Linked DNA regions of Pelodiscus sinensis. The protein of the gene in region 2 interacts with the protein of the main gene of each other region in a pairwise test. Links are inferred from orthologs where the notes say so. Each region holds a gene or a part of one and is shown on either strand. Other genes may lie near its edges.

Region 1 (10,229 bases), on a different chromosome or scaffold from region 2:
CACAGCGTTTCTCCAAAGTACAAGTGTGGTGGCAGTATTCTGTGGTGGGTTTATTTTGAGATGGAGTAAAGCTGCAGATTTTGATGTGTTTACATCAAGCAATAACAGGATAAACCATGTTAATTCCCTCATGAAGTCTGACCAAATCCTGGCTGCTGGTAGCTATGAACTTTTCCTGAAGCAGCAACTCCAGATACCCTTCTGTCTGCAGTGTGGCTATTTTTCAGACCATCCATATAAACTGACTAGCCTACTCCACTCATAAACATGCTGTTCAGTTACTATTCATTTGAATACTTCAGCTGCATACACTGCAGGTTTCCCTCCAGCAGCTTAAAATAAGATCTACCACTGCCAGCAGGATACCACAAGAACATAAAGGCCTGAAATGAAAAAAGGCACTTTTGGCAGAAAGGGCACTACACACACAGACACACACCAAATGGCAATTAGTTATGAAACTTTTATAAAACAGAATGGAGGCTAAAATTACCACTGTCTCTGCCCTTTTATAACTGCAATTAACATCAGTGTGTCCAGAGACAATGTGAGGTCTGGGGCATCCCTTCTCAATATGTGTTGGTTCATTTTAGAACAGTTACATTTTAGGCCCTGGAAACTTAAAATTTAGAGGCAGCAAAGGGGGAAGAAGTGACTAGACAAGTAGTGACTTGACTACCTGATAAGCATATGCTTATTGGGGGTAGTCAACTACTCAACTAGTCGCTTACATCCCTAACTTTCATTGCCAAGATACAATCAGCCCCCACAGTAATAATGGGCAGGGCTGATTAAGCAGTTGTGGGGAGATTACAGGCAACTTTGGTTACACCGGGGTAGCACTCAGCTCTCCAGGAGCCAGTGCACAGAGAGCCAGTTTTTAAGCCACCTCCCCGCATGTACCAGTTCCCATATCCCAGCACAGGGCAGCAGGCAGCTTCCTGGGAGCCGGTGCATGCTGGGAGCTGGCTTTTAAGCCCTGCGCGTACTAGCAGCCTGTATATAACCATGAACGTTAACTGATAAACTCGTGCTTATTGGTTAAACTTGTATACAGTTAAGCTTCCACATCCCTAGTTAACATACAGCAGCCCAAGATTTAAGAAACCTCTACACTGTGAATACTCATCTATTTTAAGTAATGTGACTGATTTCCAATATGTTTCTCCTCTCAGATTTACACTGCTTTGTAGATTTTAGATCTGATACCACTGACTTCAACAGGTCATTCTTCCCTTTCATCTTTGGTTTTGTGGTTCATTACAACATTTCTGCTGTTAAGACAAAGTTCATGATTAAGAAACAGATATTTTAATTAAAGATTTTATCTTTTCTTGTTTTTTTTTTAATGGAAAACAGGGTTAACATATGAACAGAAGTATGATCCAGAATTTAGTTATTACTGAAACTGACAGTTTTAAATTTCAGAATTTTGAATATTATTATAGTATGCAATTTGAAATAAAAATCCAAAAATATAAATGCCAAAATTGCTTCTTTGACAGACATAAGCATTAAGGCAACTATAAAAGTAGTTAACAAAACTTTTAAAATTATTAAAAACAGAATTATAAATAAAATGAATACAAGCTGCAAGAGTACTAATTACATTATTCTACTTCAATGAAAAATAGGTCCTTTTATTGAAAAGGACAATCCTAACAATTCTACAGGAAATGTTTCCCTTTTTAAATATATTGTAACAAGATTTAAGAGTGCTGGGTATTACAATGTCAGCTGCAAGGTGTGTGCACATTATTTATTAAAAGCGAAAGGCAATGGTAAATTATTTAGTCTACTTTGCTCACAAGGTAACATTAACCTAGTGCAATGGAAGCGTAACCTTGCTAAATGAAACAATAATAATGAAAGGAATGATGTTGCCACGCTCACAATACCTACAGTATGTGTAATGTAATAAAATGCAACATAATATTAAAAGGATATTCATGCTTAATCAGGCTTCAGATTTTTCCCCCCTCATATTCCCAAACTCCCACTTTGTTAAAGAGTATGGATACAGTTGAGCAGATGACATCAATACAAGTTTCTAAATAAACAAAGTTTACTTCTACTTCTAAAAAGAGGCCGATTATCAATTTCATAATTACTTCAAATTGTAGAGCTGGTTTGGCATTTAAGCTACCATACATACTTAAGACTGTGTAGAGACTAGAGTATGCATGGGACTAGAGTAAACAAATCAAATACAAAGCAAAGGTAAGTGAACAAATATGTCAACTGTGAACTAAAGATGACAATGCTTTGAAACGGAGTAAAATATTATTGTAGTTATGTATTTTATGGCTACAGAATTGTTCAGGATTTTGCCCCTTAGGGTGATTGTTTTCCAATTAACATCTGTTTATATTTCTTTTGAAACTAGTACGGTATCATAAAAAATGTTTATAATGGTTTCCTGTAATATCTGATCACAAGTGGTCAGCTCCACGATCATCATAACCAAAATCTGTGTCTTTTTCTTGATCCAGCTCAACTGCATTATGAAATTGAGGTTAACTGAAATCCTCACTACTTAACAAACTTAACAGTGCTAAGAAGTGATCTGGCATTAACCTCTATATCAGGTTTAGCTATTCTTCTGTAAATAAAAATACTTTATAAACAACTCAACAACCTTTATTACAACATGCAATGAAAATGTCAAGAAAGCTGAAATGCACTTTTTAAATATCTCAAGATAGTCACTTCAGGCCAGAGGATGCTTCAAACCAGAATTTCAAGGACGTTTTAGTATCAAATTGAATAGCTACAAGCCTCGTTTTCTCTCAACATGGTCAAGCCTTTTCCCTCCCACTTTTTAACAGCAGCACCTCTCTTTTCATATTTACTTCAATTCCAGATACAGATGAGGAACCTAATGCTTCAGAACAACTACAATATGCACATCTCATCAGCCTTTAAAACAACAACAATTAAGCCTCTAATTTCACTCATTTTCCCCACTGTCTTGATTTTGTTGTTCTGCTGAAATGTTAAACAATATGCAGGAATTTAAAAGAACACCATCAACTTAAAGATATCTGGCTGTTTGGTTTCATGCTAAATGTAGCATGATTAGAGAAAACCATTATTTTCAGGTTATTTACTCTGTGCATCTGACAGCTCTTTCTGTAGTGAGTTTGAGTTTTTCTTTCTTGTTTGATCTTTTATTCAACAGATGCGTAAAAGTTTCACGTACATCCCCTGAAACTAATTTGGATTTCCACTTGACAATCTCTCTTTACTCATCAACTAACATCTCAGCAAAGGTACAGATGACACCAAAAAGGAATCTAAAGAGGTAAAGAATATACAGCTGTAGAGAATAGTTACCCCACCTCACCCCAAATACATACATACACACACACACACACACACAAAACCATTTCATTGCAAGACTTGACCTATAGGCTATGTATCATGCCATCAGTATTTAAACAGCATTCCTCACAGATTTTCAGCAAAAAAAATTCTGCTGAATAAGTGATAGCACAATAGAGGCAAACATGAAACATTCCAACTGAGGGTGGAGAAAAGGTATTTGTATAAACTGTAATTTTCTGCCCAGAAGCAATCTTCATGGGCAGAAAGAGGCTTCTGTTGTCGCTGTTGTCACGTGAGTGCTGAGTCTGCAAGTGGTTGCATAGGAAGAAAGGAAAGGCTCTGTTTGGGTCACAAGGAAGGGATAAAGTGGGAGCATAAGCAGGGTCAAAGCCTCCCTTCTGAGACCAAGAGTCACGTAAACTGCTGGGGGAGAAGTTACATGGGTGCTAAAGAGAGCAAGACACGGCACTCACTACAAACCCTGCGGGGCCCGGCTGCAGAGGCTGAGTTGGGGTGTAAGGGGGAGCTGTACAGGTACAGGACGTTGGTGGTGCCCAGGGTGCTGAGGGGGGCCGAGGAGCTGTGTGCGAAGGCCAGGATAGAGGGGGCTGGCTGCGGGTGCCTGGGGCGGGCGCCGGGGGACTCTGTGCCAGAAGCTCCGTAGCAGGAGTCTAGACTCTCACGAGCGTGGGGAGGACACTGCGGGGGGGGGGGCGGGGCTCCACAGGCGCGCTGTGGGCGGGAGAGGCCAGGGCTCTGCAGAGGGGCTGGCGAAGGGAGCTCGCTGCCTGAGGGGCACGGGGCTGGGTGCCCGTGAGCGGGGCTTGCCGGTGCGCCTAGCTGGCGGGTGCTGGGGACGCAGAGGGGGGTGGAGTTGCGGGAGCGGGGGGCCGGTCCCCTCTCCACTCCCGCCCAGGGACCAGCCGCCCCCGCCTCTTACCTGCCGAGCCCCGCCAGGCCGTCCACAGGCGTCCGCGCCGCAGCTTCCCCACAGGCTGGCGCGGGGCGGGGCTCCGCCGAGTCCGCGTGGGGGGCGCATGCGCACAACACTCCCGTCCTCCCATCCCCCCCGCGCGCACGCCCCCGCCGGGTTGGGCAGTGACTGGCCAGGTGGGCGCCCCTCCCCCTGCGCCTCCAGGCGTTCTGGCCCTGCCTGGCCACTGGGAGCCCCGAGGGGTGGGGGCTGTGCCGGGCACGGCCAGGGCTCGAGGCAGCTGAACCGGGTCGGGAACCGAGGGTGGAGCCTCTCCGCTGATTTTTAACCCTGCGTTATGCTTCTCCCCCGGGCTCTTCTAGTGCTCCGGCGGGAAGGTGTCCACACGCTGCAAGGTGTTCAGCTTCATTCGGCTGCCGTTTTGACCTTGCCCCCTCCAGGTCCACACGTTTTCAAAGGTGCTGCCCATTGGGGGGCGCGCACACACAGAGGGACCTACACCATCTTCCTCTTAAAATCTAGCTCGGGAGAGAGCTCTGTGAGTGATTTTCCCGCTAAGTCGAGCACACGGGGCCAATTCTGCAGCGAGCCACATGTTGGCAACTGGGTCTTAACCTGTCACTTACCAAAACTGCAGAGGAGGCTCCACTTGATCCCTAGGATCTGCCTGATCTCGGAAGCAGAAAGCATCTATCCGCTGAGGGCTTTGGGCTGATGGGGGCGGAACCTCCTGGAGAATGGGACTAGTGGGAGAGGGCATGGGATCTGGGAGGTCTGTGCTGCTGGGGGGCTGCGGTAGCATAGGTTGCTTCAGGAGAGTAAAGTTGATGGGAGGGCAGAGGCTCTGGAAAGGTAGGATGGGGCTGTGGCTGGGGTTTTATAAGAGTTGGGCTGTTGGATGGGTTCACCCGCACACTCTGGCAATCCTTTTGGCACCAGTGCATGGCATCCACACTGAAGCAGCCAAATTTTCGTAAAATCAGCTATATCCCAAAGTCCCTAGCACCTTCCTGAAATGTATCTCCTCTAGCCCTTTGACTGTGTAGTGCACTGTGGGAGATCTTAACTGTTCACCTTGCACATGATAGGGAGTTTGAACAGCCTCCTTTCAGGAAACAGACTTGGAGGCAGCAGAGAAGAGGAAACAGGCAGAGCTTCAATGAGATGCGCTGGTGGGCATTTTGGAGGAATTTCCTGACCCGTTGAAGGTACCTGACAAAGCTTACAATCGAGCAGGAAGAGAAGAACACCCTGACATGGCAGACTCCTACTTGCTAATGCTACTTGGACATTCGGTATAACCACTGATGCCCTCTCAATAGACCAGGGATGGGCAATAATTTTAGACCAGGGGCCACTTCAGAAATTTTTGAAGTGGACCCGGGCCACCCAAGAAGGGGTGGGGCCAGGACACTTTCGTGCTTCCCCACCCACACGTAATTGGTTGCAGGGGGGGTACAAGTCTTTGCCCCTCCCAGAGAGAACCACCCGCTGTTCTAAACAACTGGTGGTTCCCTGTAGGTGCCCAGGCCCCTGGCAGTGGGAGGAGACTTAGCATTCTTCTCTGCTGCCCCCAAGTCAATCACAGCCTGGGGAGGGGGAGCATGTGAAGGCTCTCGTTTCCTGTCCCTGCCCTGCAAAGGAGCATGGCATTTGGAGTCAACCGCCAGCTGAGCAGTTGACTTTAACTGCTGAGCCCCTTGCAGGGCCAGAGGAGACTTCATATGCAACCCCTGCCCCCAAGCCCTGATTGGCCTGGGAGCAGAGGGAGCGCACGAAGTCTCCTCCCATCCTTTCCCTGTTCTGCGAGGAGTATTCAGTGCTTAGAAGTGCTGTGCCCCTTGCAGGGTGGGAGGAGGCTTCGTGCACGTCCCCACCCCCAGGCCAATCAGGGCTTGGGGGCAGGAGGAAGCGAGCAGTCTCTTCCTGCCCTGCCAGGACCATGAAGTGCTTCTAAGCACTGTGCACTCCTTGCAAGGCGGGGGCAGGGTAGGAGGAGACTTTGCGTGCTTCCCACTGCCCCCAAGTCTTGATTGGCTTGGGGGTGGGAGTAGTGATCAACTTGCTTGGCAGGCCAGATTCTGCCTGCAGAGGCCCTTTTGCCCACCCCTAACATAGACTGATACAGGTCCAAAAGCACAGACTGGTGGGATCACATTGTCAAATGGAGTTGCGATGACCAGAAGTGTGTCCAGAATTTTCTTATGAAGAAAGCCATATTTCTAGAGCTTTATGGATAGATTGCCTTCACTCTGCAGTGTAAAGACACCTGCAGCAGGTCACCCTTGCTGATCCAGAAGTGTCTTGCTATAGCTGTTAAGTAACTGGCTATCTCTGACTGCTGCAGACCTGTTGCTAACTAGTTTGGGGTTGGGAAATCAACCCTGGGGAAAAGAGGGGTAGAGGTTTCTGAGTCAATCAGATATCTGGTTTCCCCCAGGCGAGGAGTATAAATTTTATTCCTGCAATACTTATTGGTTTGAGGTTTCCACACTGTGTTGGGGCTATTGATGTGACTCATGTGCCCATAATTTGTCCTCTTCAAGGAGCAAAAGTACATATACCACAAAGGTTTCTGTTCCATTGTTAGGCAGACATTCATGGATGACAGTGGTTGATTCCTGAACATTAAAATAGGCTGCACTAGGGAAAATGATGTCATGGTTTTTTGCTGCTCAGAAGTGAAAAGTTATTCTGGAAGACGCCAACATACCAACCTTTGCCATGGCTTATGAAACTATACTCTCATCTAAGAGGCCCTGGTAAAAGTTTAATTAACAGTCTCAGCCATTGGTTGTCACCTATGGACTACTTCTGTCTGAAATGGACTAGATTTTTAAATGAAACACATTTTTACTTCATTCCCACCCCACACATGGTTCACTATTTCCAGGCAGCTCGATGACAATTTAGTGGTTACAGAGCAAAATATTTACAGGCATTGCAATGCAAGGTTATTACATTTAAGAAACTGGAATGGCCCTAGCTAAATCTGTACCTTTCCAACAAAAATACACTTTCAAAGTGTTCTTTTACTGTTTATATTTCCCAGTCACCTTTTTTAATTTCATGTGGGGTGAGGGAGGAAGAAGGAGATGCCAATATGGTGGCATACAAACTGCCATTAGTTGGTACATGCTGCTAGCTGGGATTTCTCAGAAATTTTTCATTGGTTCACAGAGCAGAAGAATCCCTCCAACTACTGAATGAATAAACATTTAAATGGAGCCAGAAACTTGCTGGGCTTGGGCAGCTTTTGTCCCTTTTGTGTCTGCTGCAAACTGTTCCTCTGGGGTGAAAGGAGGCATTAAATAGCACTGCTAATGGGCCCAAAATGTGCTGCTGTGTCTACTTGTCCTGTTCCAAAACTTACTCCAGGACAAGTTTCAGCAACTGAGTGACTTCATTGTTGTCTTCTTTCAGTGCTGGCTCCCATCAGTCCCCATGCTGGATTCTGGAATCAGCAGGGCCCCATCCCAGCAGACCAGGTGGTTCTGCACAACTCTTGGCTCCAGACTGGGAGTAGTGCACACACAAACTCCTCATAAAACTGGCATAATGTTGGTGAGTTGCCCAGTGTGTGACTCTAGTCCCTGGATTTTTCTATACTAGTTCTTGAGATGCTTAATTCTCTCCCTGTGCTGGTCACCAATCCAGTAAGGTTGAAACAGTGCCAGCTTTTTCACAGTCTGTTTGTATGTGTAGTCATTGCTGATGTTCTTAATTTGACTGGCCTCTTTTAACAAAATCTGGCTTTGTTCCCACAACCATAAAGCAATGCATTTTGTAAGAAGCTGCTTCTGTTCAGTCTCTATTGCATACACTAATGCCTCTCTGATGGTGAATTTGCAATGTGGTGGTCAGAATTCAATGGAAGGTTTCGAGCTTACTCACCATACCGTTGTTGTATGCCGAGGGCAGGTCGCTTCTGTTTTCACTAGAGTCAAATGGAAATAGTTGGGATGCAGAAGACAAAGAAAGTTGGTCCACAGGATTGTGGGATACCTTTGGTGGACTCTTAAAACCTGATCAGAGTGGGTCAGGCTGTGTCTTTACAGCAAAGCAATAGGGTGTGATCTCTGGATCATAGCTTGTTTGGGATTTGGACCATCCAGTCCTGCAGAATCCTAGGACCCTAAATCTGAGCCCCAGTCTGATATATTTGTGGGTATATCTACACAGCAAATTAAGCCCAGCCTAACACCCTTTCTGCCTACACACAAATCATGCTAACCCAGTACTAGGAGCCAAGGGTGGAGATTCAGAGCAGGAGGGTTCATGCCCTATTGCATTGTAGTGTAGATCCTACTGGATTGCTGCTCTGGCAGACTGCCAAATGTATCCCACAATCTCCTGGGCTGACTTTCTATGTCATCTGGTCAGTCAAGCTTTCCCACCCTAGACTTTTATTTGTGGTGCACAGTGACCTCATTTTGAGAGGACACTAGGAAGTCTGGAATATGGGTGGTTGGTGGTAGGCCCTCATAATGCAGTGTGGATGCTGGAGCATCCAGTTGAAACCCAAGGCTCAACAATTCCTAACCTGGGGTTACGATTACTATAGATGCTCAAGCTATAGGTTAACAAATGGCATGGTCTGCTAACTTAAATACTATTAATCTTGGGCTCGCAGTGTAGACATACCCCATGAAGAGGGGCTTGGGTTCTAGCTTGTGTTCAGCGTGCATTTAAATTGCAATCTCAATATATCCTTACTGACTGAAGAGTTAAAGCTCCCTGGAGAGCCAGTGCCAAAGGCGAACTGCCAGCCCATACACACATTGTGAGCCAAGGCCTCCCCTGTGAGGCTACACATATTGTTGCAGAGCCCACAATCAGGGAACATACCAGTTCAAAGTATATTGTTAAACAGGTTCCTGTCAAGGATGTTAGCTGCACTATCATTTTCCCAGCAGCCATGACTTTGCTTATGTCTATTTACAATTAAATGTGTCTTTTTCAATGAACGTTCATCTTTCTAAATGTGTCTGAGACTCAGCCTATAAAAATCATCTATCACATAAGATCTGTTTTTAAATAGATGTTTAAAGCAGTTAATTTTAATTAGATAATGCATCAAGAAATGTATTTTTAGTAGTGTCACTTTGAACCACATGCATTTCATACTCTGCAGTATGTAACTATCTGATAGTTTCTGAAGTGTGTATAGATAGCAAAGTATGAGATTTAATTATTTTGACAATATAATTCTGTTAGTGATCAATATTTGCTCAGCCAAATGTCTTCAAAACTGCATTGTCTTTTATTCTATTTCGCTGTTTGCAAACTAATTAATCTGGTTCAGACTTCAGATTGTGGTGCCAATTATAGACATTTCAAAGGATTAATGACTAGAGGTAATCCTATAGTCCATAGATGGGAATGTATAATTAAGAGGAGGTTTGTACTTTCTACTCAGTATTCTACTTCCACTTGTAATATCTGTTATACACCCATACTTTTTATAATCTACTTTTCCTCTAATGCACTCTCTATTTTGGCTATCTTCATGCAGCATTGATTGGATGTTGTTCTAATTCATTAATATCAGTGAATGATACTACTTGGTAAAAGGTTGCAGGATCAAGGAAAGAAACCTAACCTCTTAAAATCTACTATTGCTTTCTTTGAGGTCCACCTTTTTGTAACCCTTACACTCATTTGAAGTCTATTGCCTAGCAAAACCATGTTTCCTGCCTTGAAGGATTTCAACAATTTGTAGATTAGAAAAGCTTGACCCAATATGTGATCCAAGTAGAGCCTAAAGACTGAAAAAACACAAGGCAGTAAAAAAGGCCCCAAACCTATTTTTCTTTGCTTAATTCAGTGAATTTAAAGTCTTGTCTTGATCTGCTCGACAAAACTGCACAGCCCCTAATATCTGTTTTCTTTTCTCACAAATTGCAGTACTCGTGTAACTCTTCTGCAGTACTCCTATAACTCTCCTGACTCCATATTAGCTATGAAG
Region 2 (10,505 bases):
TGCAGCAGGCAGCTAGCTGATCTCCAAATTGGCCAGAGCGGGGAGAGAGAAATTCAAACTCCCCCTTCTCAAAAGCTATAACTTCCTCCCAGGAGTCAAATTCCTTGCTTTCTGGGGCTCAGAATCCCCAACTGTCCCCTTTCCTCCTTGCCAAAATGTCCAACTCCTCCCACACAGCGACTTGTCGCATGCAGTTGTGTCTTAGCACATCAACTGTGGCACAGAGGAAAATGAATTAAATACCAAAATAAAGGGCACGGGATACTGCTTTAGTTGTGCAGGGCAGAGGAGGTAGAAGGGGCGGGGGAGGGGTCTCTTCCAGCAGGCTAGTGTGCCAGCACAGTACACAGGGCCTTTCATAAAGATAAGATCAAGCGGGCAAAAGGTTTGAGCCAATGCCCAGTGTAGTCAATGGGAGTCTTTCTCATAACGTGGGAGAATGTTGGATGGCACTCTACATCCTGTCTCGTACAGGCCTGCAGCGCCATTGATTTCCATAGGGCCACCCCTGCACCAGAGCGAGCACCACCAGCCCCTCTCTGCTTTCCCTTCATTTTTTGATCACGAAAAACCCGGCTTTGAGCCACAAACGGGTCTTGTGTGCGCCCCACAGCGGCAGGGGCCCTGCGTCAGACCTCGGAGCGCCGCGGCGCTGGGTGCTAGGTATGGCGCAGGAGGGCCGGCCCCCTCGGAGAGCCGGGCGTCTTCCGGAACGTGGCGCAATTTAAAATCGTGCGCTGCTGGAGAGCAACGCGCAAACCCCTCCCCCACGCCGCCACCTGAGGGGGGCAGAGCAGGGCTGAGGTACCATGAGGGGACCACCTCACCTGAGGAGGCGGGTTTGGCCCTTGAGAGCTCATGATTCTGTCTATCTATCTATCTGTCTGTCTATCCCCATATACCCCCTCTATCTGTCTGTGTGTCTGTCTATGTGTCTATCTATCTATCTGTCTGTCTATCCCCATATACTATCTGTCTGTGTGTCTGTCTGTGTGTCTATCTATCTATCTGTCTGTCTATCCCCATATACTATCTGTCTGTGTGTCTGTCTATGTGTCTGTCTATCTATTTTTGTTAGTCTCCAAGGTGCCACAAGCCTAACCATCGTTGTTTTGATGAGCCCTTGTCATACCTGGTTACTGGGCATGGCAGAGCTGGATGCTGGCATAACTTCCCTGGCCCGCTCTAGGACCGCGCCTTAACCCTCACCCAACCAACCAGGCATCCCTGTCTGTGGAGGGAGCCAGTCCGTGCTGCCCCTCCCCGTTGCGAGGTTGGTTAAAATCGTGAGCTTTTTAAACAGCGTCTTTTTCGTCCGGTTCTGGGTCTCTAGGGCACAGTTCAAGCCTCTCTCCACAACCATGATGGCTAAATGTGCTCAGCAGGACCCGGGGGCTGACGAGGGTTCGTTTGTGCCCTTTGAGATCAAAGCTGAGGGGATGTTAGCAGGAACCCCCCTGGGGAGGCTGGTGCTAAAACCTGTGTCCCATCCCCCGAGCCCGGGCCGTTTAGCCTCACCCAGGCATCCTTCAGCCAGGCCCTCCCCGCCCACTGGCCTCCAGCAGAGGAGAGGGTGCTCCCAGGTGGCGCATGCTTGAGCCCTCTGTTCAGCCACCCGCCTAGGCCGAACGCTCGAGGGACCACGTTGGCAGGGCCGAATGTCTCCATTGGCCGTGCCTGGCTCACATTTGCGATGGCTGTGGAGTCTGGCTTGTTCTCTGGCCTGAATGCTAAGAGCAGGTCGGACAAACACCTGTCAGGGCTGATCTGGATCAGGGCTACTCAACATGTGGCCCGTGAGCCACCTGCGGCCTGCTTGTTTGCAGCCCGTGGTACGGTTTGGGTTTACGAAGGGGTCAACATGCAGCCCGTGGGCGGGATCCGTTGAGCATGGCCTCCATTTTGCGTGGAGGAACACTGGACCTTCATTGGCCCCTGTTCCCCTTCAGCCTTCTGGGGCTTGAATACATTTGCTTGCTTATAATCTGAGATCTATAAAACGGGGGACAAGCCTGAAGTCTTTATGGAGGCTTAGAATCTAGCCTCTGTCATAGTCTGTACTTGGCAAGAGAACTTAACTGCTGCATGCTGCACCACTACTGAGCTAACAGCACAGACTTTGCCCAGTGTAGGGTTAATTTCAATAGAAAAGGAAAAATGTCACCTTGCCTTCCTCAACCTTAGAAGTAGCAATCAGCCTACGAAAGCCCCAGAGGAATTTAACGGCCATTGTTGATTAGCTCACAGACCCTGAGCTCTAGTATCCTGGCATCCCCAGAACAACACACTTTCTCCAAGTCCATCTCCTGTCCCTTCCACTCAGGCAGGTCCACTTCTCTCCTTGAGATCCTCTCCACTTGGCCTATGCTGCTCTTCATGCCGGCACACCCCAATCGTCAGCGGCTGGGATGGAACCCGGGACCACTGGAGCTTAGTGGATTCTGGCGCTCCACTAAGGTTGTGGAGCAGACTCTGTCTTCTCTCTGGGAGTGGACTCAGTGCCACTAAATGGGACTGTGTGCCCCACCCAGCCAGTGTGTCTGGGTTACAGGTCCATCATCAATTCAGGAGAAAAATAAAACCAGCAGAGAGAGGTTGTGCTTCATTTACATTTCCAAAGCTGCATCAGCTAATCTCTGCTGCTGCCTTTCACTTGAGCACAAAGCAAGGGCTTACTTTCTCAGTGCCATTTCCACACACGTTTGGGGACCCCCAGTTCAGCTATGTGGTTCTTTCCATCTCTGATTACCCGCATGTGTAGGCAAATCGGGATCACGAGAGGTGCAAGTACTCTGTTTGCACCTGCAATTCATGTTTGCTGGTGTAACACCCCCCCCCCCATGCCTGTTGGAAATATTAACCCCTCGCACTCCATTTTCTTGCTTGACTCTGTCTTGATTCCTTTTATATTATATTATATTAATTAATATTATAACTTAGCACCTGGTGAGCCATGGCCTTTAGGTACCTCCGGGGGTGAGGTGTAACTCATGCAGCCAAGAATGCGTTTTCCAGCTGGTTCCTTCCCATTCCTCTTGAAGTGGGTGTGTTTGAGTTAATGAACGAGGCTGAGTATAACACAAACACAGAGGGCTGTTCCAAGTCTCCACCCTAGATGCCTCTCCAGAACAGACCCTTTAAAAAAGCAACCCACCCATGCAGACGCCGCGCTTGCTGGACCTCACCAGCGTTCCATAAAAGGAGGGTATCAGGGGAACCCTTAACAATTCCAAGAACAGTCACTTTTCTGAACACAGCAAAAGAGTTTCCACTCAGCTTTGCCGAGGAATCGGGCCAACTTCACTTTCAGTTTACTCGGGGGGTTTGTAACCAAGAATGGCATCTGCCGAATGCGTGGAAACTCTGAGCGTGCCCAGGGATGCAGGTGGTGGGGGGAGAAAAGAGGCTCCCCTGAGCTCCTGGAGGAGCAGGAGGTCGGAGAGAGAATGTAAGGAGAAAGGAGAGTGAGCGTTGTTAGCAAAGAGGGGGACAGTGAGGGAGGAGAAAGTCCTGGAGGTGGGAGCAGAAGGTGGGGCTGATTGTGGAGAGTGTCAGGCATCCTGCAACAGGGAATGTTGGGTGGGGGATCCTAGTTGGGGAAGGAGTAATAGAGCGGAGGTGGGGTTAAGTCCTGGCAGATGTCATTCATCTGTTGCCCCAAAATCAACATTCCGAAAGAGGCTTGCCCTGCGGTAGAGGGCCTGATCATCACAGGGGATGGGATAAACTCTGGACCTGCTGGGAATCCCGGCACGTGGGCTGAGAAACTCCCCCAAAGGAGACTGGGAAAGATTAGCTAACAAGACCTCACGGAGGAAAGAGCCTCAGATCCAGTCCAGCAAGCTGGTGTGGCTGGGGCTTTGTGCCATCTGTTCTCCTGAAGAAACCGTCTCCATCACTAGCCCAGCTGGGCCCATCCCTGGGTGGCAGCAACAGGTTGGCTCTCTACCCTTGCTGGCCCTTAGCACTCCTATTGGACAATCACCTGCCCCATAGTGACTGGATGCCCCCTCCACAGGCCTGTTTACCACAGGGTCCCAGTACGTCCTAACAGACACAGTTCATTGCTAATAGATGCTGCTAGTCAGGCGCATTGCCAAGGGCTTAGGGTCTGATCCCTTCAGCTCCTATTGAAATCAATGGGAGCTTGAAGGCACTCAGCCCCTCTCAGGATTGGGCCCTCAAAACTTCCCTCTGGGGACCACCTCACATTTGCAGCACTTGCCCCGGTAGCCCCGTGCAGCGTTCGACCGGCCCTGCCTCTTGATTTCCCTCGCCCGCTGGCCAGAGCTGGCCCAGCGCCCCGGTGGGCGTCTCCCTTTGGCTCTGGTCCCCTGTGCATGGAATACATTAATGCTTGTTTATCAAATCAGCGGGGCTTGCTGTGTAAATGAGGACGCATCGAGACATGTTCTGCTGCCTTGGCGTTTGCCCTGTGGAGGGGGAGTAAATAAGGCGCATAGCAGCGCTGCGCGGAGGAAGGGGACGGGGAGGCCGAGCCGTGCGGCCGCTCCCCGGAGAGATTACACTCTGGAATGTGCCAACAACCCCGACCTGCACAATTTTTCAAAGCCAGGAAGCCAAAGGAAACAGCAGCACCCGTTCGCCTGTCCTAGCCCGGTGCAGCCTCCGGAAAGCTGCTTGCTCGCTGCTGCGTGCCTGTGTCCTTGGCACCTCTCATGTCCTGCTAGCACCTGTCTCCGGCCTCTACTCTGACGCCTGACAACAGAGTGGCTCTGTTCTGCTTTCTCCAAGGATCCCTTTGCTCCTTGTTTCTCTGCCACTTAGGAATGTGTGGTTACCCAGCTCTGGGAGAGCCTGAGTCTTGCAGGCTGGCAATGCCAAGAGCCCCGTAGGAAGGAAGCCGGAGTACTCACCTCTTCTTCTGCACCGTGGGGCTGTATTTCCCTTTATTTCTTTTCCTGAAGAGAGAGTTCATGGTGATTTCCCTGGTGCTAGCAGCTGCCTGAATGCAAAGGGCTGGCTGCCAGCTGGCGAAAGGAGGCTGCTGCTAGATCCTGCAGGTACAGTGCTCGTCTGGGGAAGGAAGGGACAGGGAAACCGGCAGCCGCCTCCAGCCCTGCTCTCTGTGCCTGCTCCAGGGGTGTGAGTTCTCCCACTGAGCGGGGTAGGGCTCTCCCAGAGAAGGTGGTGCTTACCTACGGCACATGTCACTGACACAGGCGGAGCTACACGCACCTCCCCAGCCTGCTTTCGCTGGGAGCAGCACAGAGGTTACTCCAAGGGACCACGAGCAGTATCAGGCTCTGCGTGTGTGCGCTGTGCGAGGGACAGCTGGGGCTTACTTCAGCCCCTCACAGGAGGGAAGCATTCCAGCCTGTTACCAGAGGCAGGGAGCGACTGTCCAGCCGAATGTGCACATTACAGTCGTGTATCTGATTATTTTTCCGTTCCTGGGGCACCCTGCAAAACTGGGAAAATAAGCTCTGTTTGCCGGGAGCTGGGAAGGGCTGACAGGGGTGGGATCACGTGATGATTCCCTATCGCTGTTCATTCCCTCTGGGACACATGGCACTGGCCACCATCGGAAGACAGGATGCGCCTGACCCAGTGTGGCCGTTCTCATTTCTTAACAAGTTACCGGTTGACTGCAATCTTTCACTCAACCCAAAACGAAACACTTCACTCCGATGCGGAGTTTTTTAAAGCCTTAAAAGAAAAGGAAATGTCAAAATGTGCCCATGAAAGCTTATGATACGATCTATATATTTTTGTTAGTCTCAAAGGGCAGGTCTACACAGCAGTTAGAGCACTCTTCCTCTGACTTTCCTTACACCGTGTAAAATGAGGGTTACAGGAGTCGGAGTAAGACATTATTTCCACGTGATGTCGAAATAACTGCCTGTTGTATAGACGCAGATTATGTTATTTCGGAATCACCTCAGTGATTCCGAAATAACGCTGCTGTGTAGACATGCCCTAAGGTACTACAGGATCATTGTTGTTTTTAAGCTCTAACAGGGCAACCGAAAAATGGGGAAACTGATCACCGGGTCGTGCTTCCACACAATGTGGCATGTATATAATTGAGCAATTAGGAGCAACTCTTTTGTTTGGGCTTTGTGGCCATGTGAGACTAAACACATGGCTACAGAATTGTGTAGCCCTCACCAGGGCCGAATCCAGCGCTAGTTATGTCCTGAGGGCAGGTCAGTGCAGGATTCGGCCGACTGATCCTGTACGCTGTAACACCTCTGAAATCAGGGCTGTTCATCCGGCATGCCCCAGTGAGCAGGAGCTCAGAATTAGGTCTGTTCCTTGGGCGCTGTGTAGGATGCAAGTGTTCAAACCGGTCAGGGCGGTTTGCTTGAAGGCAGAGCAGGTGAGTGGTTAGAGCAAGGCACAGGGCTTGCTTTGGGTGCTATCGCTCCTTTGAGGCAGAGTGTAACAGGGCAAATCGGCAATGGAGACATTTTTCCAAAGAGGCGAGGGGTCTTCAGCTGCCTCTGTGCTTGGGCGTGAGACACGGGCAGAGGCAGCTTCGGAGAGGCACAGCAGGCACGGCACACTGAGTCCAGCTGGAGTTGCGGGCGCTTAGTTCCTCTGAAGATCAGGCCAATGTGGGGGCAAGTTGGACACCCACCAGGAGCAGAGTGGCTGAGAATCTGTCCTTACCCGGTCTGTTCCTCATGGCCTGGTTGTGGATGGGGGCAACTGCGAGGGATCATAAAGTATAATGACACCCCCAAAACCTCACGGCAGTGAGCTCAGAGCTCGGTTCTACAGACTCGGGCTTGTGGGGCTTACAAGACAGCACCAGAACCAGCCGTGTAGGCATTCAAGGGTGGGTTCCAGTTTGAGCTGGAACATCTACATGGCTATTTTTAGCACCATAGCTTGAGACTTGCCACAGTGGCTTTGTTTTTCTGGGGGTTTTGCCATGTAGACGTGTACGTAAAGGGCCCAATTCTCGTTCATTGTAGAAGCTCACGGTCCCGGCCCCAGCCCTAGTGTCAAATTCCTCATCAAACTTTCCAGGGGAGTCTTCTAAGAGCAGAAAGAGTCCGCTCCTTTTCCCCAGCCTTGCCAATCATCTACAGCAGAGAGCTGCGGAAGGCAGCCCAGGCATTCTCCCCGCCTCTGTCTGTTGCTGGAGTATGTCAGCGCAGGGAGAAAGGGGATAATGAATGACTTTGCCAGGCAAAAGGAGGCTGGGTTGTTTAGCTATCAGCTCATTTCTCTGCAGGGAAACATGAGCTCCAAAGGGCTGCCTGTTGATTTGAATTTAATTCTCATCCTGTTAAGAGAGCCCTGGGGTTCTTCCTGGATGTGCTGACAGGTGACTCTATGCTGTAGCAATGGTCTCTTTTAACACTTCTGTTAATTAATGATTTAAACCCAGCTTGGCTGTGAGCCTGAAACCCACAGCTGATCCCTAATCCAGTGGCTGATGGAACGTGCGTAACCTTGGCACGCAGTCCCTGCGGTGCCCAGTGCTGGAAAAATGCAGCCTAAGGCTGTCCCATGGCTGCCCTTTCCATGTGCAAGGTGTGGAGCTGTGCACTGAGGGGAGTCTCTGAGCCGTCTATTACACCATTGCGCTTCCTGGTCTTTCATGTATCCCTCCTCCCAGCACTATTAGCTGCATAGTCCAGCTTTGCAGCTGAGGCACATGGAGACTAGGTGACTTGCCCAAGGACACAGCAAGTCTGTGGCGGAGCAAGGACTCAACCCCTTCCTCCCAAGTCCTTGGCTAGTGCCCTATCACTGGCCCGCCTGTCTCTCTGCACACATGCAAGAGAGCATCAACTAACTCCATTGCACCATTTCCCCTTCTTCTCCGGACCCCAGAGCGGCCTCCAGGGGCCCAGGATCTGCAGGAGGCATGACCAGGAAAAGGGCAGGTGAAGGAGATGTGTCCAAACCCTGAAGTCTGCTGTGAAAATCTCAGCTGAATCACTGAGCAAAAATTGGCCCAAGCCTCCAAGTCTTTGGCTGCTTTCAGTGGAAGTTAGGGACCGACGAACCTGGGAGGAGCTGGGCCTAAGTCCCTTGTCCGTGGCCTGCCAGGCAGTCCGTGGGAGAGGGGGAAGGCAGGTCCCTTGCCAATGCGTTAGTAATGCTGTGTTTCTCATTAGAGCAGAGTAAATGCTGCGCCTTGGGGCCTAGGACAATTTACACCAGCCAAGGATCTGCCTTCCCATCTTTCCCCCGTAAGACACAGCATTGACCCCTACTGCTCAGTCGGGGAGCCCACAGCCTCCATGGCCCCCACACAGGGGCCAGCTCTGTGCTCTCAGAAGGGGCGGGGCCTTGGGCAGAAGGGGAGGGGCTGGAGCAACTAGCCCTCAGTGCCACCTGGACCATAGGCGTCCCCTCCCTCCTGCAGACCTCTGAGCCGCCCGGAGCGTGTGGTGCAGCACTCCGGCAGTGATTTAAAGGGTCTAGGGCTGTGGCAATAAGAACAGTGCTAGGCCCCTTGGAATCACTGGGCCCTTGGGCAATTGTCCCCTTTGTCCCCCTCTCAGCGGGCCTGTGCTCAGTAAATAAACAGCAGCAGCTGCAATACCGAGCAGCGAAATGAGCGTGCCACACGCTGGTTTACTGCCCCCAGAGCTGCTGCTCGGGGTTCCTGATCCAGGTCCTTCCCAGCACCCCAGCCTGCGCTGTCCCTCTCCCATCCCCCCCGGGCTGTCAGTGACACAGTGCAGCTTGCAGCTGTGGCTAGCTGGGGAGAGAGCATTTCATTAGCCAGCATTTTGCAGTGAAAGGGGGGATTTGAGGTGCTAGCGGGAGGTGACGTTGCTCGCCCACCTGAGGGGAGCAGGACAAATAGCAGGAGGTGCTGCCACTCTAGGGATGGGGGTGGAAAGGAAAGAAATGATTCCGGGGAGGGGAGGGGAGGGGACAGGAGGAAACTAGACCCAAGCCACAAGGGATGCCGAGAAAGGAGCTGGCTCTGCAGTGGTGTCAATGAGATCAGAATCTGCTCCGAACGTTCAGTCCTGGACGCTCAGGAAAACCTCATAGCCCCTTTGCAAACCCATCCCTCCGGCACCGGCTCCACAATCCCCCGGGTGCTGAGGTTCCGCTTTCCAGCCTGGCCATTCGCTCCCCTCCTTGGAGCTGGGCAACCCGGAGGTGTCGGTTTCTCAGTCCGGATCGTCCACGTGAATCCCTCTGGGCACCGAGGGGCATCCCTGCGCTGGCGTGAGTCAGTGAAGCTCTGCAGCCGTCATTGCAGGAGCTGTAGGATTTACCTCAGCGAAGACGAGGCCCTGCTGTGCTAGGGGCTGTACGAACATACACGGCAATGCCTGCCCCACGCTGGCCATCTGTGTTCACTTCGCTTATTTCCATTGCTGGCTCTCACCACTGACAAATGAAGCACGCGGGTCTTAGGAACTGAGCTCTTACAGCCTCATTTCAGCAGGGACAACGCTGGCTCCGTGCTGGCTGTGGCTGCAGATTTACCTTCAAGGCCACCAGCATGGATTTTTATTCTAAATGGGGGGTGTTATACCCAGTCCTCTGAGGGATCCTGCTTCAACCCATCATCCCCGCCCTCTTAAATCTCTATCTATGGCCTCCGCTTGCTGCCTTTCCGACCCCCGCACAGAGGGCACAGTTTGTCCCTCCACCTGCTGCTCGTGAGCTCTCTGCCACCAGCGTGGTGCGAGGTTTCCAAGGCCGTTGGGACTTCTCCAGCTGCGGTCAAAGGGCAGTGAGATCAAGAGGAGGCAGAGACACTGAAGTGGTCCAAGGGACCGTGTTCTAGCCATTCCACAAGGGGGTAAGGGAAAATGGACGAGGGCTGCAATGGGATGTTAGCACGGGGATGACGGGCACAGCCGGGGCACCTGCCACTGGATAAACATGTCAAGGGATAGATTCCGATCCTGCTGTAAAACCCTTTTTACGCCTGGTGAAATGCCCTCAGCACAGGGGGCCTCTTGAGCCAGCACAGCGATGTCCTCACAGCTCTACACCATGCAGTCCCTAGCATAGGGACATGGCGGGGGGAGGGAGCTGACCGGTGCACTCTGGGTAGTCTGGGCCAGAGGGCCAATACCCTGAATTGGCCCAGGAGGACTTAATGCCCTGTGGAGGGAGGAAGTCCCACCCCCTCAGCCATACTGAGCATGCTCTAAGTGCTGGAGCAGTATAAAAGGGAGCAGCTCAGCTCTGTCTGGGCTGGATGCTGCAGGAGAAGAACCTGCTGCAGGAGTTCTAGTGACACCCCAGCTAGAGACCTGGATGAACGCACTGAGCTGCCGGAGGAGCCTCAGGAAGAGGCTGGTGCTGTGGAACCGGAGGACCCCGAGGCTACGTGGAGCACTGCAACGCTGTATCCGGTAGGAAGTGACCCAGGGAGGGTGTGTGAACGGTATCTCCCACCTGAGCAAGCTCAGCATGTGTGGTGCGATTCTCTGCTGTGTGAGTGATGGATCGCTCTGCCACTGACAGGGTTGTGGGTTGGGGCCCAGTGGAGCAGGGTGGTCCCCAGGCCCCTACTGGGGCTACTGACCCTAGCCATTGGGCTG
Region 3 (10,711 bases), on a different chromosome or scaffold from region 2:
TTAACTTACACGGAGCCATTTATCTTTAACAGGTATTGAGAATCACAGTATTGCATCCAGCATTTGTCCACAACCTCCCCCCCGACCCCAACATGTAACCAAATACAGACAGGAGGAATATCAGGGGTTCACTAATTAGCATTGCAGCACTAGAGCCAATTGTATTTTAAGCTGTTTTGATAGTATCCAAACATGTGATAAGGGAGCAAATCGCAAGATGTTAAGAAAGGATATACTTTAAACAGCAGAAGGAATCTAATTATTTGAAGTAAATTATTCTCAAAACCATGAAGTTCAATTCTCTCCTCCCTCCACCCCCCAAAAAGACTAACCAGTTGTAGGAAGGTAGTTTTGTCTAGTTCCCTACACATCACTGTATACCTTGCAGTTACCAAACATTTTACTTTTAAATTAAATTCTAGAACTACTTACATAACAGCTCCACACACCCGCGGATGGCGACTCATCCCTAGGTAATCATTGCTGCACCATACAGACACTTCTTTTTTGCTGATAAGGGAATCAGAGTAGTCATCTGCCATGGGAAAGATCTGTGCCCTTCGATTCACAGTTTTGAATACACGGTATGTATGATCCTTTTTTTTCTCATCAATTTTTTTCTCAAAGAACTGGTCATATTGGAAAGTAGAAACAGCTAGAAGAGGAGAGAGGCTATTAAACATAAGAACTAACAGTTTTGAATATCAAAACATCTGTCTGCTGCTGGTACTGCAAAAATGGATTTAGCAGACATAATAGATTCAAATATATTTTGCTAGCCAAATGAGAAGGATTCTTACATTTTGGCAAGTTATCCTGAAGCAGATGAGACACTCTTTCTGGCTTCTGCTTTAACATAATATCCTGGAACTTTTTCAGCAAGCCATTCTGCTCTTCTCCAGAAGTCTTGATGTTTATCATGGTGGGATTCACTGGCGTTTTAGTGAACTCTGTACATTTGAGATGTTACAAAGAAATCCAGTGAGTTAAGTTAGTTTCACAACATCTTATATAAAAAGATTGTATGCCAAGAAAAGTTATGAATTCACTATCTTACATTTTTTAATAAAACAATCATAGTTGAGACAAGAGCAGAGCACAAAGACTCAAGCTGAAGAGAATGCACTGTATACTCTCTTCAGATCTTGTGAAATCAGAACTTGTCTAACAAACATTTGAGGTCCAATTAAAAAGTGCCTGGGACCAATTCAGTTGACCTAAGAATTTGGTAGGTAGGCTAATACAACTAAAACACATACTTGGTTCTAAGTAAAAATGTTTCCCTGCTGTTCCAAGCTTTGGATCATTGTTACTACGGCTTGCAGCAGACTGGAAAAGCTGGAGTGAATGGGTAAGGAACAAACTGATTTCTTCCAGAGGAAGCAGCGAGACTTTATAGGTATTGGTGAAAGAAAAGACTTTAACACTGAGTTTTGACAAAACTCAGTTAATCTGAAAATAACATTCTGTTTATGGTATGGACAGTTATTTGTACATGTGCTATGTGAGCCCAATCTCTGATCAGGGCCATTAGGCACTACCAAAGTATTAAGAAAAAATGGTCCAGGGTGGAAGGGAGGCTGATTCTATTCAATTGCTACTTGTCTCTAGTGTCCTGTTTTATGCTTTCCAGTCTAGCTGCTTAATTCTTTGAAAATGCTAATGTGTTCTATATACTGGTAAGACTTTCTGGTAACAACATTGAATTTTTATAAACAATAGCAAGAGCTATTCTTTCAAGCTAACTGACAAAGAATGCTATAGCTTGACAGGTTTTGCAACTAGAACATAGTCTCACTAAAAGCAGCTACAAAAAACATGTAGACAAACAGTTGGTATAAAGAAAGATTACACAAACTGGCTGCGTCTAGACTGGCATGATTTTGCGGAAATACTTTTAACGGAAAAGTTTTTCTGTTAAAAGTATTTCTGCAAAAGCGCGTCTAGATTTTGTGCAAAAGCATCCGTGGCCAGTCTAGACGTGATTTTGCGCAAGAAAGCCCCGATCGCCATTTTAGCCATTGGGGCTTTTTTGTGCAAAACAGTTCTTTCCTGTCTACACTGGCCCTCTTGCGCAATTATTCTTTTGCAAGAAGGCTTTTTCCCCCGAGCGGGAGTGTGAAAGCATTTGCGCAAGAAGCACTGATTTTGTACATTACAAAGTCAGTGCTCTTGCGCAAATTCAAGTGGCCAGTGTAGACAGCTGGCAAGTTTTTGCCTGCTTTTGCGCAAAATCTTGCCAGTCTGGACGCACCCTCTGAGTATTACAAACAGCACTACATGTGCACATTAAAATTCTTATATTCTACAATGAAGACTTTTTGTTGCAGTGTCCTATGGCCTTCCCTCTGGCCTATAAGATAACTATTGTCAGACTTAGGTTTTATCTCCAGGTATTACAAGAGGCTATATTTCATTGTTTATTGCAGCATACGTAAAAACATACCTTTCCTTACAGCCTGCATTTCATGCACATCCTCTTGGAGTTCTAGGCTGGCTTTGCAGAAAACATTACTATTCCTAGGGTTCATCTGAGCTGCCAGGAAAGGGCATTTAGTGGCAGAGCTCTGGTTAGTGTTCTGGCTAGTAACAGCAGGCGGATGGCCAGTAGGGAGCTGGGATCCATTGGTTTTCTCAGGGGACACATCTTTGGAATTTTTGGCCTCTTAGATAGGAGAAACAAAATAATGGTTAAAAACCAAGAACTGAGGTGACTGGATTGCCTAAAAACAAAAACTCTGACAACTGACGCTAAACCACAAGCTATTCAGAATTGTGCAACTGAACCATCTATACTTGTGTAATCACAAAATATGAAGTGTCAATATCTGATTAGCATTTAAACTCAAGTTTTCTTGAAGTGTTCAGCATTATTGCCTCTTCCCCCTATGTGGAACCAGTATGCTTTGTGTAGGAGTTTAATTTCAACTTCAAACTTTTTCCAGCTGCCCCTTCTCTATTATTTATTATAAATTCTCATCCAGGGTCAATAACAGCCATAAATCATAAGCTGATAACTCCACTGACCTGGATTTGTACCAATTACATAGTTATGGTCAGCAGACCTTTGCTCTCAGACACTGCTCTAGTTTGCAGAGTATGAACAATAGTTTTAAGATAATCCAATTGATTTCTTTGCAAGTATTTGTTAAATTGATAAGCAACACGTGTTAAGAGAAGATTGAACACAACACTTAGAAGTAAACTGGTTCAGGCAGTTACAATTGCCAGACGTTTCCTTCTGGCTGGGCAGTTCCCAGGGTGCTTAAAGTTCTTCCTCTTCTACTTAAGCAGGAAGCTTTTATTACATAAGTCAAAGGTTGTTATTGTGAAAAACTACTGAATAAAAATGGCACCCTGCAAATGTTACAGAACAAGTAACCCTATCATCATTAAATGCACGTTAAAAGGATGGAATATTATATAATAATGTACCTAGGATGCAAATTAGCTATCAAGAGCTGATTATATCCATTTAATGTTGCCCTGTAATAATTTAATGTATGCTTAGCAAATGCCCCAGGGACCCAATTCATTTTTATCTTATTGCATACCTTTTCACCGTTGCTTCGCAGTAAGATAGCAATGTTATAGCATACTCTGCATTCCTAGTTTTTGGAAGGTGGTGTGTTTTTCAAACAGCTAGGTTCCACCTCCCACAATTTCCCTTTCGGTTGTTCAGTGTGCATTACATACCGTAGCTGTTTTCATTTACACTTCTATTGCATTAGAAGACATACAAGATTTGGATGAATTACAAAATCCAAAAGTCAGAATTCCAAACTCATAACCCTATTCCAAGTGCAACACTGAATCGTACAGGATTAAGTAGTTTTCTTTCAAAGAAAAGCTTAACAAACCAGACAGACCAGTCTTTAAAAACAAACAAAAAATCCCAACACACCCTGAGGCATTTGAATGAGTATATAAGCAATACAGAGTAAGAACAACAGCGAGATATTTACTGGTAAACTTTTTTGGGTTTTCACGCCACTCATTGAGAGAGCAAAATCAGGGGCAATTTAGAGGTTCTAACCTCTCCTAGCCCTATAAATGAAAGGAAAATGTTGGGAGCTAGTATTAAACAATCTAAAAAGCCTTATGGTGAGGAAGCTTTATTTTACCATAATTTTAAGCACCTGAAAGACAAAATTGACACTGACTGTCATTAGGTGGAGTTGTTTCTTCGGCCTGTTGGCAGTGAGCAACTGAAGTACCCAGGGCACGGGAAGCAGGCTTAGTCCCAACCTCCATCATTTTAGGGCAGCTCTGAGCGTAAAAGAGCAGCGACTTGCCAGCCTTCTGCAGAAAAGCCTGGGATACCCGTGACAGGAACGGGCAGCGGCGAACAACAGTTTCCATTTTCGGGTGTTTGGATCCTGTAGCAAGATGCAGAAACGGCAACAGCGTTAGATAATGTCTTACCTACAAGACTGCCAGGTTGCATAACACACACAACAATCAAGCCCCCGCGGGGGGAAAGCCGCGCAGTGGCAGCCCCGCGGTGCGATGAATGAAGCAGAGACCCAGGGAGCGATCAGAACCAGGGTGGGCGATGAGGGGGCTGCGCTCCAGGCTGCCCACAGGAAGGGGCGGGAGGGGGAGCGTTTAAAGGGGCAGCTGCAGGGAACGGACTGACCGGGAGGTTACTGCGATGGGCGGGCTCAAGCATTCCCCCCCCCCCCCCCATTTACTTGGTGCTCGCACCCGGGGCCGGCCCCGCGCGGGGGGGGGGGGGAGGGGGAGGGTGCCCGGCAACGCCGAGGGGCAAACGGGGTTTCCCAATGTCGGGGGGGGGGGGCAGCGAGACCCCTCCCCGGTTTCAGCGGGGCGGGTCCCCGGGCGGGGGGCCCGAGCGCTGCGGACCGGAGCCGGCAGTCGGGGAACCCGCCCCCCTGCCCTGCCCTGCCCGGGCGAGCCGCGGCCGGAGCGCTCTCCCCCCAGCCCGGGGCCCCACTCGCCTCGGCCGCTTGTCCGGCTGCTCCTGAGTCCCTCCGCGAGCGCCTCAGGCCGCCGCTCCCTATATAACCACCCCGCGCTCCGCGCAGGCGCACAACAGGACGACTGCCCGCTGTCCCCCTGCCCGGACACACAGCGGGAGCGCACGCGCGTCGACGCCTACCTACGCTATGACGCTCGCGCTCGCCCCCTCGCCCCGCCCCCCTCCCCCGGCCTGCGCGCTCGGGGGGCGGGGCCAAGTGACGCAGCGCCGTTTGGGGGCGGGGCAGACCGAGGGAACGGAAGGCGCCTCGCGCCTGCCCAGGAACGGGGCTGAGGAGAAAGCTCTCGCTGCGGGCGCCTCGCCCCGGGCCGGCTGGAGCAACACGAGCCCCTGGCGCGGCAGGGCCTGGCTCGGGAGCCCGCAGGCCCCTTCCTGCCGTGCCCCGGCCCGCGGGACTCAGCCTTTGCCTGGCAGTGGGGCGGGGCGTCATACAGGCAGCTCCCTGCTGAGAACGGGTCTGGGAATCGCCCCCCCGGCTAGGGCCCCGCTGCCCCCTTCCCGGGGCATGTTTGGGGGAGAGGCTGGGCTCAGGGCCCGCTTTACTTAGGGTACGTCTGGAGGACAGGCTCTGGGAGCGTCTAGACTACCCCCCCTCCCCCCCGCTGCGACAGAGCAAGCTCTTTGCCGCCCGCACAGTGTGGATGCACAGGACAGTGTAGCTGCTCGAACGCCTTCTGTCGCCAGACCTCCCTGCGCAACAGGCGTTATTCCTCGTAGAATGGGGTTTCCTGCCGAGTTATGTCGACGGGACTGGGCGGTAGTGTAGCGACAGGTATAGTTTTGTCGACAGAAGTCCACATTTCTTGACAAAACCCTGTAGTCTACACACACCCTAACTGCGAAAGGGAGACAGCTCTGTGAGCATGGACAGTGCAAGCGCTGCTGCTAGTCACTAAAGGGTTTGGAATTTCAGGGTGAAAGATGTTGGGGACAGATACTTGTCTTCTCCCACCAAACTATCCCATCAGCCACGTGTAGATCTAAGATTGGACAGCAAGACACACAGGTGGAATATGGCACCTGACCCTACTGCCAGGTAGGCCTATGTACTGGAGGGAGATAGTCACCTTCTATTAAGTCCAGATCACAGATGCAGGAAGAGTGGGAAGCTATTTGTTGAAGATTAGTTATAGAAATGTAGCTGTGTTAGTCCTGTTTCTTGTTTCAGCTACATCAGACTATGTAGCACTTTAAAGACTAACAAGATGGTTTATTAGGTGATGAGCTTTCGTGGGTCAGACCCACGAAAGCTCATCACCTAATAAACCATCTTGTTAGTCTTTAAAGTGCTACATAGTCCTGTTTTTTGTTTGTTGAAGGATTGTTATCTTTGCTTGTACTGTTACTTCTCATGTCCTTCCATCCCTAGTGCAAGACACTGCCGTACTTATTACATGTAGGGATTTTAAGTCCTTTGACTTTTTTTTAAAAAGCACTAGAGCCATGCCAAATACTATTTACTTCTGCTGTGACACTCCTCCCAGTCCTCAAATATGAGATATTTTCATTTTGAATTATGCTTCAGGAAAAATAACATTTATCATGAATACCCGGATCTTTATTGTTTACCTCACTCACATTACAGCTAATGTAAGCAAGACTTTGGTTTGTTCAAACATTGATACTTACTGTTAAACTCTGATGCTAACACTAAAAACAAGCAGCTCTGTACCATTGTGTTAGGGTGTGGAGCAGGAAAGGGGTGGGGAATTCATAGACACCATTGAAACAAATGACAGCAGCAAGTTCACTGACAAATAACATTCTTCTAATTTAGAGTCATATCATAAAATCATAGAAGTTAAGGGTTGGAAGAGACCTCGAGGTCATCTAGTCCAACCCCCTGCTCAAAGCAGGACCTACCAAATCATCCCAGACATGTTTTTTTTTCCGAGCCTAGCCTTAAAAACCCCTTAACCGGGAGATTACACTGTCATAACCCATTCTAGCACTTCACCACCCTCCAGTGAAATAGTTTTTCCTGATATCTATCCTAGACCTCTCCCACTGCAATTTGAGACCACTGCTTTTTGTTCTGTCATCTGCCACCACTGAGAATAGCCTGTCTCCAGTTTCTTTGTAACACCCTTTCAGGTAGTTGAAGGCTGCTATCACATCCCTCCTCACTCTTCTCTTCTGCAGTCTGTCAGTTATTTTGAAGGTTTAGTAGATACTTCACTCTTGGATCATCGGTGCAATCTTCCCTTTTATATATTATGTTTAGTGGTTTACTTGGCACTAGCCTTTATTTTAGACTATTAAAACCACAAACTTTCAGTAATTTCTTGGCCTCGTGTGGAAGTGATCATTGATAGTGGCGGATAATGATCAGGCAGTTTTGGTTCTGTTTTTATTTAACAGCACAAGTATTTGTGTGGATGATTTTAATGGAAGATAATGTTACTTTGACTAATACTATATTGTTTTTTGGTGAGTGAGATAGGGAGGGAGATCAGAAATAGTAAAGATATGGAAGCCATTTCCAACAATGGTCAGCACATCCCTTTACAAGCCTGAACATTTCATTTAGATGTCAAAGAGAGCAGAGCTCATATGAAAGAGTAATGCACTTTGAGAAGAAGCTTGGATATCATAGAAGTGAGGGTGGTGCAGGAACCTACATAGAATTGAGGTGGGGTGTGAACACCTGAAAATCTGCCGATTGAAAAAAATGTAAATTAAGAGACATGCAGAGGTTACAAGCTGATCCTTAAAGTCCCATTTGTAACTGAGAAAAGGGACCAGTTATTTGCCTGATGCCATGCAATGAGTTAGTGGCAGAGGCTATATTAGAATTCCGAAAGTTGTTGAAAAAACTGCCAACTTTATACTACATAATAAGAGCTAGTTATTAAGAATCAGGGCAAAGTCATCTTCCAGCTGTCCAGGAACTCTGAACTGGGGAAAGAGGGAGAAAAGGCAAAATTCTGTCCTCATTTAAACCTTGTACAGTCCCCCTCCAAAAAAAAATCAATCATCATCCCCGATGGAATTTAGTCTGTTGATCAATAATGTTGTATGACTGAAGTTTTTTCTACATGTAAAGTGTTTAAATGCCTTTTTTGCTTAAGCTGTAAGAATCTTACACTACATTGGTCAACATTTTTTATACTAATAAAGCTGAAGTAGGATTTGAACTCACTCTTGGCTATATAATGCAAAAACACTGTGTACCAGATTATAGACCATTGTCAACAATGGCAATTTACACTTAAATTACCACAAGGAGAAATAAAATGAGAATGATATATTAATATCTGAATACAAGGACTAAATGTTTTATCAAAGCCTGTCACCTGGTCATACTCAAAGTTAGGTGCATTCAAAATGTTCAAATCAAGTTTGTGATTTGTTTTATTGAATAAAAACAGTCATATCAGAAATACATTTTACATGGAACCACAGTAACTATTTTTGCATGGATTAGATGGAGGCATGAAAACAAGACATAGGTTCACTGCTTAACAGTATCAGAACAAGTCCCCTCCGCAAACAATTCCTCATCTAGTTCATCCAGGCATAGAGAGTGTTGCTCTTTTTGCCTAATTGGAATCCAATTCCACTAATGGCATATCTTCAATATTAATTTGTTTGCGAACAGGAAAGTTCCCTAGCCTATTTGGAATTTGTCAACTATGCCTTATCTTTATAAATGTGGCTCCTTCTGGTGAATCTATGAAAAATAAAGCAAAGAAATCTGACCAATTAAACAAAAATGGGTAGAATGGTAAAGGGTGTCTGATGGATACTGTTCAAAAAAGTTGGATCAGGTTTAGAATTACTTTTGCTATTTGGAGATCTTTGTAACTTGGCTAGAAAACGTTCAGCTTTACGAATCTTTAATTCTGCGGTTTTAAACTAGACTCCTCATATATGCTGTGAACACTACCTCCTGTAGTTACATGTAAAATATCTGTCGTGAAAGAACAATATTTAACCTAGTAGCTTAGTGGAGGTGAGCAAAGTTAAATAGTTTTGGAGTACAGTTAACTTGATTTCCACTGCATTTGCTAGGTCGGAGGCCTGCCAAAGAGTGTCACATTGGGAAGGTCAGGGTATTTAATAACCAGGAGAGTAACTGGGTATGGAGTGTGTCCACAATTCTACCTTCCTGTTTTTTGCAGAAAGGAAGGAATACAGAGAAAGGGAGAAAAAAAGTAAGGTGATTGTATTTTATTGTATTCTCAGAGTTTAGGTGTTGTGCACCAATAAAGCTGACACTAAAAGCTGAAGTGTATTAAAGGTGATAAAGAGGATTTAGTTAAAGCACATTTTGAGTTAGTGATCTAAGTTCATTTTGGGGGTTTATTTACTTTTATTTCTAAAATGGAAAAATCTTTATTAATAGAACTGGTTAGACATTTTTCCAACAGTCCCCATCATGCCAAAAATGGACAGTTTTGATAAATCTCCCAATTCAAAAATTACTGGAAAAAAGTTTGTAATCAAACCCTCCCATTTTGCAAAAAGAAGTTTTTTAGCTTAGAGTTGAAACTGCCTTAGTTTTGAGATTTTACTAAATTTAGAAAAGTTTACAAGATCAAAATGAAATCTTTTGATAGATCCAAACCAAACACTTTCCAGAGTTTTGGTTAATAAAATATGAGATTTCAACTTTGTCCCAATTCAGAATGTGAAAGTTTTTCAAAAATTTTCAAAGATTTTCACAGGATGAGAAAGCTGTTTCCTATGCAGCTCTACTTACTAAATGCAGACTCCTGCAATTAGAAAAGATTCTCTGTTCAAGGCAGCCCCACACCACCTCCCTAGGACCCAAAGGTAGGCTGTAATTTAGGATCTATTTTTAGCTACATTTTTAAAGATTACCCTGACATTAATCCTTGTGCTGCTTAGTGATTTCCCTGGGATGGCACAAGTGTAACATAGGTCAGGCTTTTGATCCAAGATATTGAGTAATTCTTTGTCAGGGAAATGTTTGATTTGGTATGTGAATTGGAGTTCAGAGGCTCAATTATACTTGGCTTCCCATTTGAGTAACTGGAGTTTAGGGCACAACTTCTTTCAAGATTTGGCCCTAGGTCAGCAGGGAAAAAATCCATGTTTTGTACCCCAGGCTGGGGTCATCAGGATATTGGAGGAGTGCCAAAATATCACAGCTGTAGATGTCTTTCTTTAAACATAGTGTAAAAATGTCAGAAGGAAGTTGCCTTTTAAAAAAGGCCAATAGAAGCACTTCCCCTTTTGCAAGACAGGTTTCTCTAATATTTCTGGAAACAAAAACTTGAACAGCCAGTTTGTAACCTCTCACACCAATCAGATACACCCATTAGTGATTAGAGCTCCTGCACCCTGCTTTTTAGCGAGGTAGGCACTGAGGGATTTTTGTGCTTCTAAAAAAAGAGATTTCAATAGTGTCCGTAACACGGTTAAACTGAAAACCATTTCCTGCCTCCTGCTTTCATAGCACAAGCCAGTATATAAGCTACTCGCTGCAGAGGAACATGAGCAAACCTTAAACCCAGGCACAGCCCTACAGACAGGATTAAGTTTTTACCTTAACTCCACACAAGTGGCCACATCCTAAGAGGTTTCTTGCCCCATTGGTACATATGGAAAATTGTGAAGTAAAAGCTATTGTGATATTTAATACAGGCATCAAGCTAGAAGAGGGGACACAAAATAATGCTATTTTGAACTTACATCTCTCTCATTATCTGATCTCAAGATGCTTTACAAAAGTGGGCCATG

What was found.
Region 1: the proteins of PPL (region 2) and RAB3IP interact in binary tests that used the Homo sapiens proteins (3 or more experiments, as listed by UniProt). The two-hybrid records come from large-scale screens. The link is inferred for Pelodiscus sinensis from reciprocal best matches to the Homo sapiens genes PPL and RAB3IP.
Region 3: the proteins of PPL (region 2) and ALAS1 interact in binary tests that used the Homo sapiens proteins (3 or more experiments, as listed by UniProt). The two-hybrid records come from large-scale screens. The link is inferred for Pelodiscus sinensis from reciprocal best matches to the Homo sapiens genes PPL and ALAS1.

The regions. Positions count from the first base shown.
Region 1 is NC_134711.1:64,099,413-64,109,641, reverse strand, and holds the start of RAB3IP (rab-3A-interacting protein), read right to left. Parts: upstream 4,389-10,229; 5' UTR 4,268-4,388; intron 1-4,267. UniProt on the Homo sapiens protein: Guanine nucleotide exchange factor (GEF) which may activate RAB8A and RAB8B. Promotes the exchange of GDP to GTP, converting inactive GDP-bound Rab proteins into their active GTP-bound form.
Region 2 is NC_134726.1:5,915,225-5,925,729, forward strand, and holds the start of PPL (periplakin), read right to left. Parts: upstream 5,108-10,505; 5' UTR 4,940-5,107; coding exon 4,878-4,939; intron 1-4,877. UniProt on the Homo sapiens protein: Component of the cornified envelope of keratinocytes. May link the cornified envelope to desmosomes and intermediate filaments. May act as a localization signal in PKB/AKT-mediated signaling.
Region 3 is NC_134721.1:42,251,483-42,262,193, reverse strand, and holds the start of ALAS1 (5-aminolevulinate synthase, non-specific, mitochondrial), read right to left. Parts: upstream 5,120-10,711; 5' UTR 4,962-5,119; intron 4,380-4,961; 5' UTR 4,363-4,379; coding exon 4,140-4,362; intron 2,666-4,139; coding exon 2,447-2,665; intron 951-2,446; coding exon 801-950; intron 656-800; coding exon 433-655; intron 1-432.